2 linked regions of the Rattus norvegicus genome follow. The protein of the gene in region 1 interacts with the protein of each later gene in a biochemical or structural test. Links are inferred from orthologs where the notes say so. Each region holds a gene or a part of one and is shown on either strand. Other genes may lie near its edges.

Region 1 (4,457 bases):
ACAGTAAGCCATTAGTACGCACAGTATATTAGCACAGGCTACATAAAGCCTTAATGGCTGAAACTAGAGGTACCAACCAGTACATGCAGCAACAAAGAGATTAGGTCCAGAACTGTGTTCAAGTGTGTATGTGCTACGGTTTAGGGTCAATTTCAGCCTGCTCCCCAAAAGGTTCCTGGACCTCAGTGGGGCAACGCTGGCACACAGTGTGACCTTGAAGAGGTGGTGCTTATGGTAACTCGGGCTTGGCAGGCAGCAAACACCGTCACCAGCTTCGAGGTGGCTAAGATGGTAAAGGAACCTGAGTTCTATCCCTGGAATATGCACAAAGCTGTCCTCTGACCTCCAGTTGCTGCTGTGGCACTCACGCCCCACACACCCCTCAGACAGAAGAGAACCTATCAATCAAATACTTTTTTTTTTAAAGCTGGGCTTGCTGTCCCATCATCCCAGCATTCAGGAGAAAGAGGCACTGGGAGACGGTGCAAGTTCAAGGGCATCCTTCTCACAAAATTTACTTCATCATATACTTTAGCCACATAGCCTGAAGATAATTTTACATAAAATGTTTAATAACTTGTACAAGAGTCAAAGTTTCATGATGCAGAATTTCCACAGTCATCTCTGCACTCAAAGAGTTTTGGACTTGGGTGAAATTCAGATTTTCAAATTGGGGTGTTTAATCTATAATCATTTATCAATTCCCAGCCTAGCTGTTGCAGTTTTCTAAGAATAACACATTAATCATTTTAAATTATCAAGACAACCCCCACCTCTTTCTTTTTTCTCTTTTTTTTTTTTTTTTTTTGGTTCTTTTTTTCGGAGCTGGGGACCGAACCCAGGGCCTTGCGCTTCCTAGGCAAGCGCTCTACCACTGAGCTAAATCCCCAACCCCCTTCTTTTTTAAAACACAGAATTTACGTAGCACCAGCTGACTGGGCCTGGACTTGCTATATAGACCAGGCTGCCTGGAATTTACAGAACCACATGCCTCTTCCTCCTAAGGTCCGAGACTAAAAGCATGCACCGACATAGAGGGTCTGTTTCCAAACTCTTTGAAGAACAGTTTCCATTGCTCAAGATCATAATAAAGAAAAGCACTTTAAGCCCCTCAGAACTGTCATCCAGTTAATGATAAGCAACAAAGGGGCCTCCTAGGGTCTAGGAGCCTGGGGATCTTTTTTGGGGGGAGGGGGGAGGATAAGGGAGTTTTCAAGATAGGGTCTCGCTATGACTGTCCTGGAACTTGCTCTGTAAACCAGGTTGGCCTTGAACTCAGAGATCTGCCTGTCTCTGCCTCCAGAGAGCTTGGGATTAAAGACACAAGCCACTACACCTGGTGTGATGGTTTGCATATGCTTAGCCCAAGGAGTAGCACTATTTGGAAGTGTGGCCCTGTTGGAGGTGTGTCACTGTGGGCATAGGCTTCAAGACCCTAGTCCTAGCATCTTGGAAGTCAGTATTATGCTAGCAGCCTTCAAATGACAATGTAGGACTCTTAGCTCCTCCTGCACGAGGCCTGCCTGGATGCTGCCACAGTCCCACCTTGATGGTAATGGACTGAACCTCTGAAACTGTAAGCCAGCCCCAATTAAATGTTGTTCTTATGAATTGCCTTGGTCATGGTGTCTGTTCACAGCAGGAAAATGCTAACTAAGACACCCATCTTCTGGCAGTCTCAAGTTTAGGGTAGAACTGTGTGTGCGAAACTGACTTAGCCCACATGCCCCTCTCCACGTCCATTCCCTCTATGATGTGAAGTTCTGAACTAGACATGGCCTGTAGGTTCTCCATCCACTGCTACTGTACAGCCCGAGAGAGAAGGATGGCTTTTGTTTTGTTTTGTTTTGTTTTTACATTTATAATGAGGAAAGGGGCTGGGGATTTAGCTCAGTGGTAGAGCGCTTACCTAGGAAGCGCAAGGCCCTGGGTTCGGTCCCCAGCTCCGAAAAAAAAAAAAAAAATGAGGAAAACAACCAACTGACCAAACCCTTGGTTCATGAAAATTACACGAAAAATATTTCCATTCAAGTTTCAGTATCTATAAATAAAATTATAGCGACACACTGTCTGATATATTGTCTTTGGCCTTCTTCATGAAACATAATTGAGCAACAGTCATCCCAAATCTAAAACACTTACCATTAAAAGTATTGGTTATTTTTTTTTTTAGTATTGGTTATTTTTAATTAACTCTACAACATATTATAAAATATATCTACAAGAGTTTGTCAACCCCCGAAGGAGACCATTCTAAATTCTATGTCTAAGCACAGTAATCAATCACATAGAAGGAACTTTACCCACATGAGGTTCAATAGGCCACACTGCTGACCTCTAAGAAGTCACATCTTGAAGAGTTAAGCAGCCCCCAAATCCACAAGTGCAGAAACGTGAGAGCGCCAGGTAAAGTCGTTTTACCTGCCTCCTCCATAGAGGGTGTTCAGAAGAATGGCTGCAGTCAGAGTAAGCCGCACCGGAACTTTAAGTCGTTTAAAACCTTCCCTCAGCCTCAGTTTCCACTCCTATAAATGGCATTAACACCACACTCACCTCTCTGGGCTGCTGTGAAGGTGAATGAAAGGACGCACAGAAAGGGATGGCTTCGAGCTGCGGTCCCAGTGACCCACCCTGGGCGCCTCCGGGCGCAGCGGCGGGGCGCGCGGAGGAGCAGGCGTGGCCAGAAGGTCCTTGTCAGCGCCTTCGGGTCTCGAGCCAGGCTTCGGCCCACCGCGCCCGTAATGGAGAGCGGGCGTCGCGTGTTCCCACCTCCTCGCGCTCACCGGAGCCCTGCACGGACCTCCGAGCCCTCACTCCCCGGAACTCTTCCGGCGTCTCCAGGGCAACGGCCGGAGCACCGGACTCCTGAGCGCGACGGACCAACAAGGAACGCTCTCATTGGCTGGAGTGTGGCCTTGTCAGCCAATCGGAGCGGGTGCCTGAGCCACTTACTGTCTGGGCCGACCAGCAGGTTCATTGAAGGCTGTGTGTGTCTGGCGCGCACATCGGGAAGCTGGCTGGCTGCTTCTGCACTCTGCTACCTACAGGACTTAACAGTTTTGTTTTATTTGCTTTGGTTTTTGTTGTTTGTTTTAAGCAGTGTCTCACTAGTGCAGCCCGAACTAGCTTCGAACTTGTGGCTATCCTCCTGCCTCGGTCTCTGGGTTGCCAAGGTGGACCCCACCCACCCATCACACACTACTACTTGCACGCGTGCTTTATGAACTCGTGTTTGCAAACTGGGCCCCCCGCAGTCACCAAAACAAGGGTATTGCTGCCAAAGACCTGGAGCAGGTGTTCTGAAGATAATGAAAACCTAAGTGACACGCTGGCGGGACTACATAGGGCCCAGGCCAAACCTCTTCCGCCTGGTCTGGAACTCGGTATTTATGGTTTATCCTCGAACTCACAGAGATAAGCCTGCCTGTCTCCCAAAGGCAGGTATTAAATGTATGAACTAGAGTCGGACTGAAAGAATTAGAAACTCAAATGGCTTTAATACAAAAGAGCATGGGAGCAGACTCGCTTAAGAAAAGTGTCAGAGAAGATTGCCAGGTTTTGAGTTGAAAAATCTCCCAATAAGGAGAATTAATGAAGCTCTTTGGGGAGGAGCTCCTTGCTACTGGAATTTAAAGTGGCTAGTGACTCCAAGGATGATTTAGATAACCATAGTGGGCTGGAGAGACGGCTCACTGTTAAGAGCACTGACTGCTCTTCCAGAGGTCCTGAGTTCAATCCCCAGCAACCACATGGTGGCTCACAACCATCTGTAATGGGATCTGATGCCCTCTTCTGGTGTGTCTGAAGACAGCTACAATGTATTCATGAAAGAATAAATATGGGGGGAAGAAGCTGGGAGCTGGCTCAGCAGTTGAGAGCACTGGCTTCTCTTCCAGAAGGCCCTAGTTGAATCCCAGCACTCACACAACCGCTCACAACCAGCCTCTTCTGGCTTCTTCTAGCACTGCACAATGTGGTGCACAAGCCATACTTGCAGGCAAAACACTCGTACACATAAAATGTGTTCAAAGGATTCATTTTATGTAAGTGTATGGTAGCTGTCTTCAGCCACACCAGAAGAGGGCATCTTTAACAATGAATGTTACAGCTTTTTTTTTTTTTTTACCATATTTTAAGAGTTTGAAAACTTGTTTAAAGCGAGGCATGGCGGCACACACCGGTCGGTGATCAGGTGTTCTCTATGAGTTCAAGATCAGCCTGGTATACAGAGTTCCAGGACACCTAGGACAACACAAAGAAACTCTGTATAGAAAAACAAAAACCAACCAAACAACAACAAAATGTGGGGAAAAACTTGTTTACAAAAAAAACAAAAACAAAAACCAATAGCTGCATGATTCAATCCATCCAGTACGAAGAAAACAGCTTTATTAATATGCCAGGAGGTTAAAAAATATATTACCAACTTTGACTTCAGAAAAGTATACACTGAAAGA
Region 2 (4,488 bases), on another chromosome or scaffold:
GGGACTCAGAGGACAGTATTCTCACAGCTCCAGGACAACTCCTCAGATTATGTTTTGTCCTAGGCAGGGAGAGATGAGAAAATATTCCAGGAGCCAAATAGCACCGGCCCACTAGGCCATAGGTCAAAAGCCTTTTTAGCAGAGTCACTGGAGAATGCCTGAGATTCCCTCTTTTTACTGGCCAAGTTAAGAGTTATCTTTTCCCTAACCTGGCTTCAATGGAATTTCTGATATCCAAGCTTCATCCAGCCTTCTCTTAACTGTGTAGAGGACAATGTTAGCCACAACACAGCCAGATGTCTGCATCTTTAGCACAGCTTCTAGCAGCTAATGCCACCCCCTCCCCAATGAGTAAGTCACCAAACTGGGACAGGAGGACAGCGAGGGTTAGCTGGACTCTGGCCCCATGACTACCTCATAAAAGCCACCAGTGATTACAGCGATGCGGAGGCTGTGCGGCGTGCGACCATTCCTCCTTCCCACTTCCCTGTAAAGGGAGATAATTTGCTCAGGCCAGTTGGCTTCAGAGGACCTACAGAGTCTTGGCCAAGGTCTCAAGGTGTGGGGAGAGCCCACCACCACAGATCCACAGTCCTAGATCTGACCTTTGCCAACAGCCTTGGGCCTGCCTCAGATTATCAGTCCCATTAGGGAACCTGGACAATACCAACTGTACTTGTGACCCATAGTGTCCCCCTCGCCTGCAGCTCTTCTGTAGGCCACACAATTGTCTAGGTAAGGGACAGAGAAGTGGAGGCAACAGAAAAAAGCCAGCCTACCAACTCAACTCTAGTGTGGGTGGCAAAGTGTCCCAAGGACCTGCACTAGGCCAGAGCAATCATGGAGGACAGGAAACTCAGTTGGCACAGAAGACAAAGCTGGGAAGACGGACAGAGGTCCAGGCCAAGGACATAAGGGCCAAGGATGCTGCAGCAGAGGCCCCTTTCAAGAGCAGGGTCAGAGTGGGGCCTCAGTGAGCTTAACCCTGTCCCCTGGTCCAGCTCCAGACATGGAGAGACTCCCTCTACCTTTCCCAACACACCACCAAGGAAGACCAGGAGAAGAAAGAAAAAAAAAAAAAAACCTGCTGGAGAGAGATTATATAACGGCAGCCAGCCAGCCTGTCACATCGCCCAGCCTATGAGGTGCACTAGAAGCCAGAGAGCCAGAGCAGGGAACTGGGGCCCTCCAGCCCCATATCACCACACAGAGGGGGATGGGCAACCTGCACCTGCCTCCTGTCCAAGTCCCCCACACCCTGTTCCAGGCACTGGGCTTAACAGAGGCAGCACAAGCCCTGTGCCCATCCCCCAACACAAGGCTTCCCATACTTTCTGGCTGGGTCCTGTTTCTTCTCTAAGCTCAGGCCTGCATGAGCAAGGCTTGTATGTCTTCATTCTTAATCTTAAGAGTCCCTGCATGAAATATGTGACAGAGAGAGGGAAGACCAAAGTCTGATAGAAAATTTGAAGTGTGATCTCAAGTAAAATGCTCTACCACTTTGGTAGGTATGGGAATGAATGAAAGCTGCTGACTCCCTAAAAGTACATGCAGCAGTCACACACAAGGTACTTGTATGAAGGGCACAGGAGTCACAACAAAGACAATGACCACTGAGATCCCAAAGCCTCTGTCCATTTCTGGGGTATATGGGAAAAGTGCTCTACAGAAGCTCCAGAATTCCCCAACCACCCTACATAACAAGGTTCTCAGCCACTCCCACATTCATCCCACCCCACCCCCATCCTGGAAGACGCAGGAAGGAAATTCATTCACAGGCAAGGCCATGGGAGCTGGGACAGCCAGGCTGAGCACTGGGGCTTGGTGGCCAGTGGCCAGAAGCTGGCTGTCTGAGGACACTGACAGGTACCTCACCAAAGCTCCCCTCCGCGGATACCTACCGCGGATACTGAGAGAACAGAAGGTGGACAGCTCCCAAGGCCAAGTGCACTCAGTAGGCTCCTCTCCGAGATTCGGCCAGAGCAGCCCAAGGTCACCGTCCCAGACGGCAAACTTCCCACAGTCAGGCAGCTCAGACCCACTGAGGGCTAGGGGGAGGGAGAAGATCCACCACTCACACAGCTAACCCGCTAGGCCTCAGAAGAAACTCACACGGGTAGGGAAGGGTACCGGATCCAACCACTGTACTCCCCTATCCTGGCCCCAGTGCGCCGGTCAGTCGTAGGCAGAACTGGCACTCAGGACAAGCTGGGTAGTCCAGGGCCACTGGGAACCCCGAGGGCTCGATGGAATCTCTGGGAGGCCTCTCTGCCCCATCTCTGCGGTGGGAGGCCAGAAACACCGTAGTCCCTTGGGCCAGCCTCACCGCTCGAACCCCACTCGCACCGACTCGGCCCGCACCGCACCAACCAAGGGAGGCCTGGAGAGGTCCTGCCAGATGTTAACAGCTGCAAACTACTGTCCAGGGGTTCTCCACCTGGGGTTGCTGACACGCCCGATCAAGGGGGTCCCCACGGGCGCGAGATCGCGGCCGGAGCCACGTGCGTTGAGCCCGCCAAGGCGCGAGGCGGCGGGGGCTCGGGTACCAGGCGCGGCTGTCACAGCAGACACCCCAGCACCACCACAGCCTCCGCCGCCCCGCTCGGCCCGGGACGCTTATGCCAGGGCGCCCGTACACCCCTCGCGCTCCAGACCACCCTGCGCCCGGCCGCGCGGCATGGGGGAGGGGCTCTTAAAGGGGCCGACGCGCGTCGTGACTCACCAGCCCGTGGGGGAACGGGGTGTCACGGCGCCGGGAGCTTCGGCCCGGTCCGCGGAATCCTCGGCTGCGCGAAGCCGCAGCTCGGACGGGGAACAGCGAAGGCGCCGCGTCCACGCGGCCTGGGCGGCGCCACAGGGCCGGGACCCCCTGGTGCGCGCGGGGGCGGCGGCGGCGGGCGGCGGGGACGCAGCCGAGCGCCCAAGCCGCCTCGACGGTTGTTGATATTTTGCTTCCTTCCTCCTTTCGGGCTCCAAAGGCAACTCCTCCAGCCCCAGACTCGAGGCCGACGTAGGCACAGCGCAGCCTAGCTTGCGAGATAGAAGGGGAGGGGGGAAGACTAGAGTGATGGACAAGCAGGGGGCCAATGGGAGGCCCCCGCGGGGCGGGGGGCGGGGCCTGGCTGAGAGGCCTGGGACGCAGCCCCGCCCCTTGCCCTCGGCCTGCGCCCCACCCCTCCGGGGCGCGCGACCGCGGCCCGTGGAGCCCAGATCCCTCCGCCTGCGGGATGGAAGGAGGCTGCGGGGAACCTCAGCACCCCAGCCCCAGAGTTGGCAGGGGTCTAAGGGTAAATAAGTTCTGGGGAGATGAGAGTTTTGGAAGGACCCAGCTTCTACACTTACTGTGTGACAAAGCTCCGATGCCAGATCGCGTTCTCTAATCTGGTGGTTACCTGGGGAGCTCCGCTGCTCCCTCTACCTGTGACAGGTCCCCTCCTTTCCCCTGACCCGGCTCGGTTGACGCCCAGACATTTAAAGCGACAGTGCATAATTCTCGGGTGATCTAATCTGCTTTTAGTGCCTGCGGGCTCCAGCGCACTTAACTATGGAGGGGGCAATTTAAAGGGGCGGGACCCCAACCACCACCTCCCTTGCCTCACAGAAAACATCCATCTTAAACATCTTGTCTTAAAGAAATTGCACCTCTAAAAAAAATCTTTTTAAAATCCCTGATGGCCTCTGGGCGTGGTGAATTTTTAAGTGCTTCACAACAAGATTGTGCGCATTGCTTCTGGACATTAACCCGTCAGACTTCCTGTCCAGCATCCTGTCACTAACAAGTCCTCCGCTGGCTCTACCTGGAGCTTGAGGAAATGACAGAGTCTGGCGTGGACTTCAAAGCTTTGCAAAACAGAAGCACCGGGTTCTTCAACAAGCTAGGATCTGCTTTACTGAACAAAGTCCCCGATCTGGTTTCTTGTGGGAGAGACAAGAAGAGGTGACAAGTGGTGGGTTAGAAAAATTTAATCTTGAAGCCAGACTCTTTTGGTTCAAAATTTTCCACTATTTACGAAGAGAGCAAAGCACATTTCTTAACTCTCCATCCACTTGGGTAAGCTGAAGGTGGTGAGGACAAGTACATAACTTGTGAATTTGGTGTGAGTTTAGTTCCCAGTAGACTAAGTACAGTGAGTGCCTCATGTTGTACTGTATGACCCACACACGCTGCTCAGCTGAAAATGAGCCCTGGGTGAGTTCAGAATAGGCGCTTAGGGAACAAGTTCAATAGGACTATTCTGCAAAGAGCTTGGAGGCATATATGTACCTACTTAAAACAGGAAGCAAGTAAGCTCCTATTCCCTTGGCCTCCCTCTTCAACCCCTCCACTTTGCCCCTCCTTCCAGAAGCCTGATTTATATAGTCTCACACATGGTACCCAAATGTTGCTCCTTAGTTTCCCTAGTAGTATGGGGGTGGGGGGGCACTCCCAGCACAGAGCTGCCAGTACTCCTGAGCAGTCTGTCTGGTTTGCCCCCAAGACTTGAGTAA

What was found.
Region 2: the proteins of Cabin1 (region 1) and Mef2d form a complex in vitro, tested with the Homo sapiens proteins (2 studies listed by BioGRID). The link is inferred for Rattus norvegicus from reciprocal best matches to the Homo sapiens genes CABIN1 and MEF2D.

What each region holds. Positions count from the first base shown.
Region 1 is NC_086038.1:12,891,143-12,895,599, reverse strand, and holds the start of Cabin1 (calcineurin-binding protein cabin-1), read right to left. Parts: upstream 2,808-4,457; 5' UTR 2,554-2,807; intron 1-2,553. UniProt on the Homo sapiens protein: May be required for replication-independent chromatin assembly. May serve as a negative regulator of T-cell receptor (TCR) signaling via inhibition of calcineurin. Inhibition of activated calcineurin is dependent on both PKC and calcium signals.
Region 2 is NC_086020.1:175,902,890-175,907,377, reverse strand, and holds the start of Mef2d (myocyte-specific enhancer factor 2D), read right to left. Parts: upstream 3,047-4,488; 5' UTR 2,723-3,046; intron 2,252-2,722; exon of another isoform or gene 1,902-2,251; intron 1-1,901. UniProt on the Homo sapiens protein: Transcriptional activator which binds specifically to the MEF2 element, 5'-YTA[AT](4)TAR-3', found in numerous muscle-specific, growth factor- and stress-induced genes.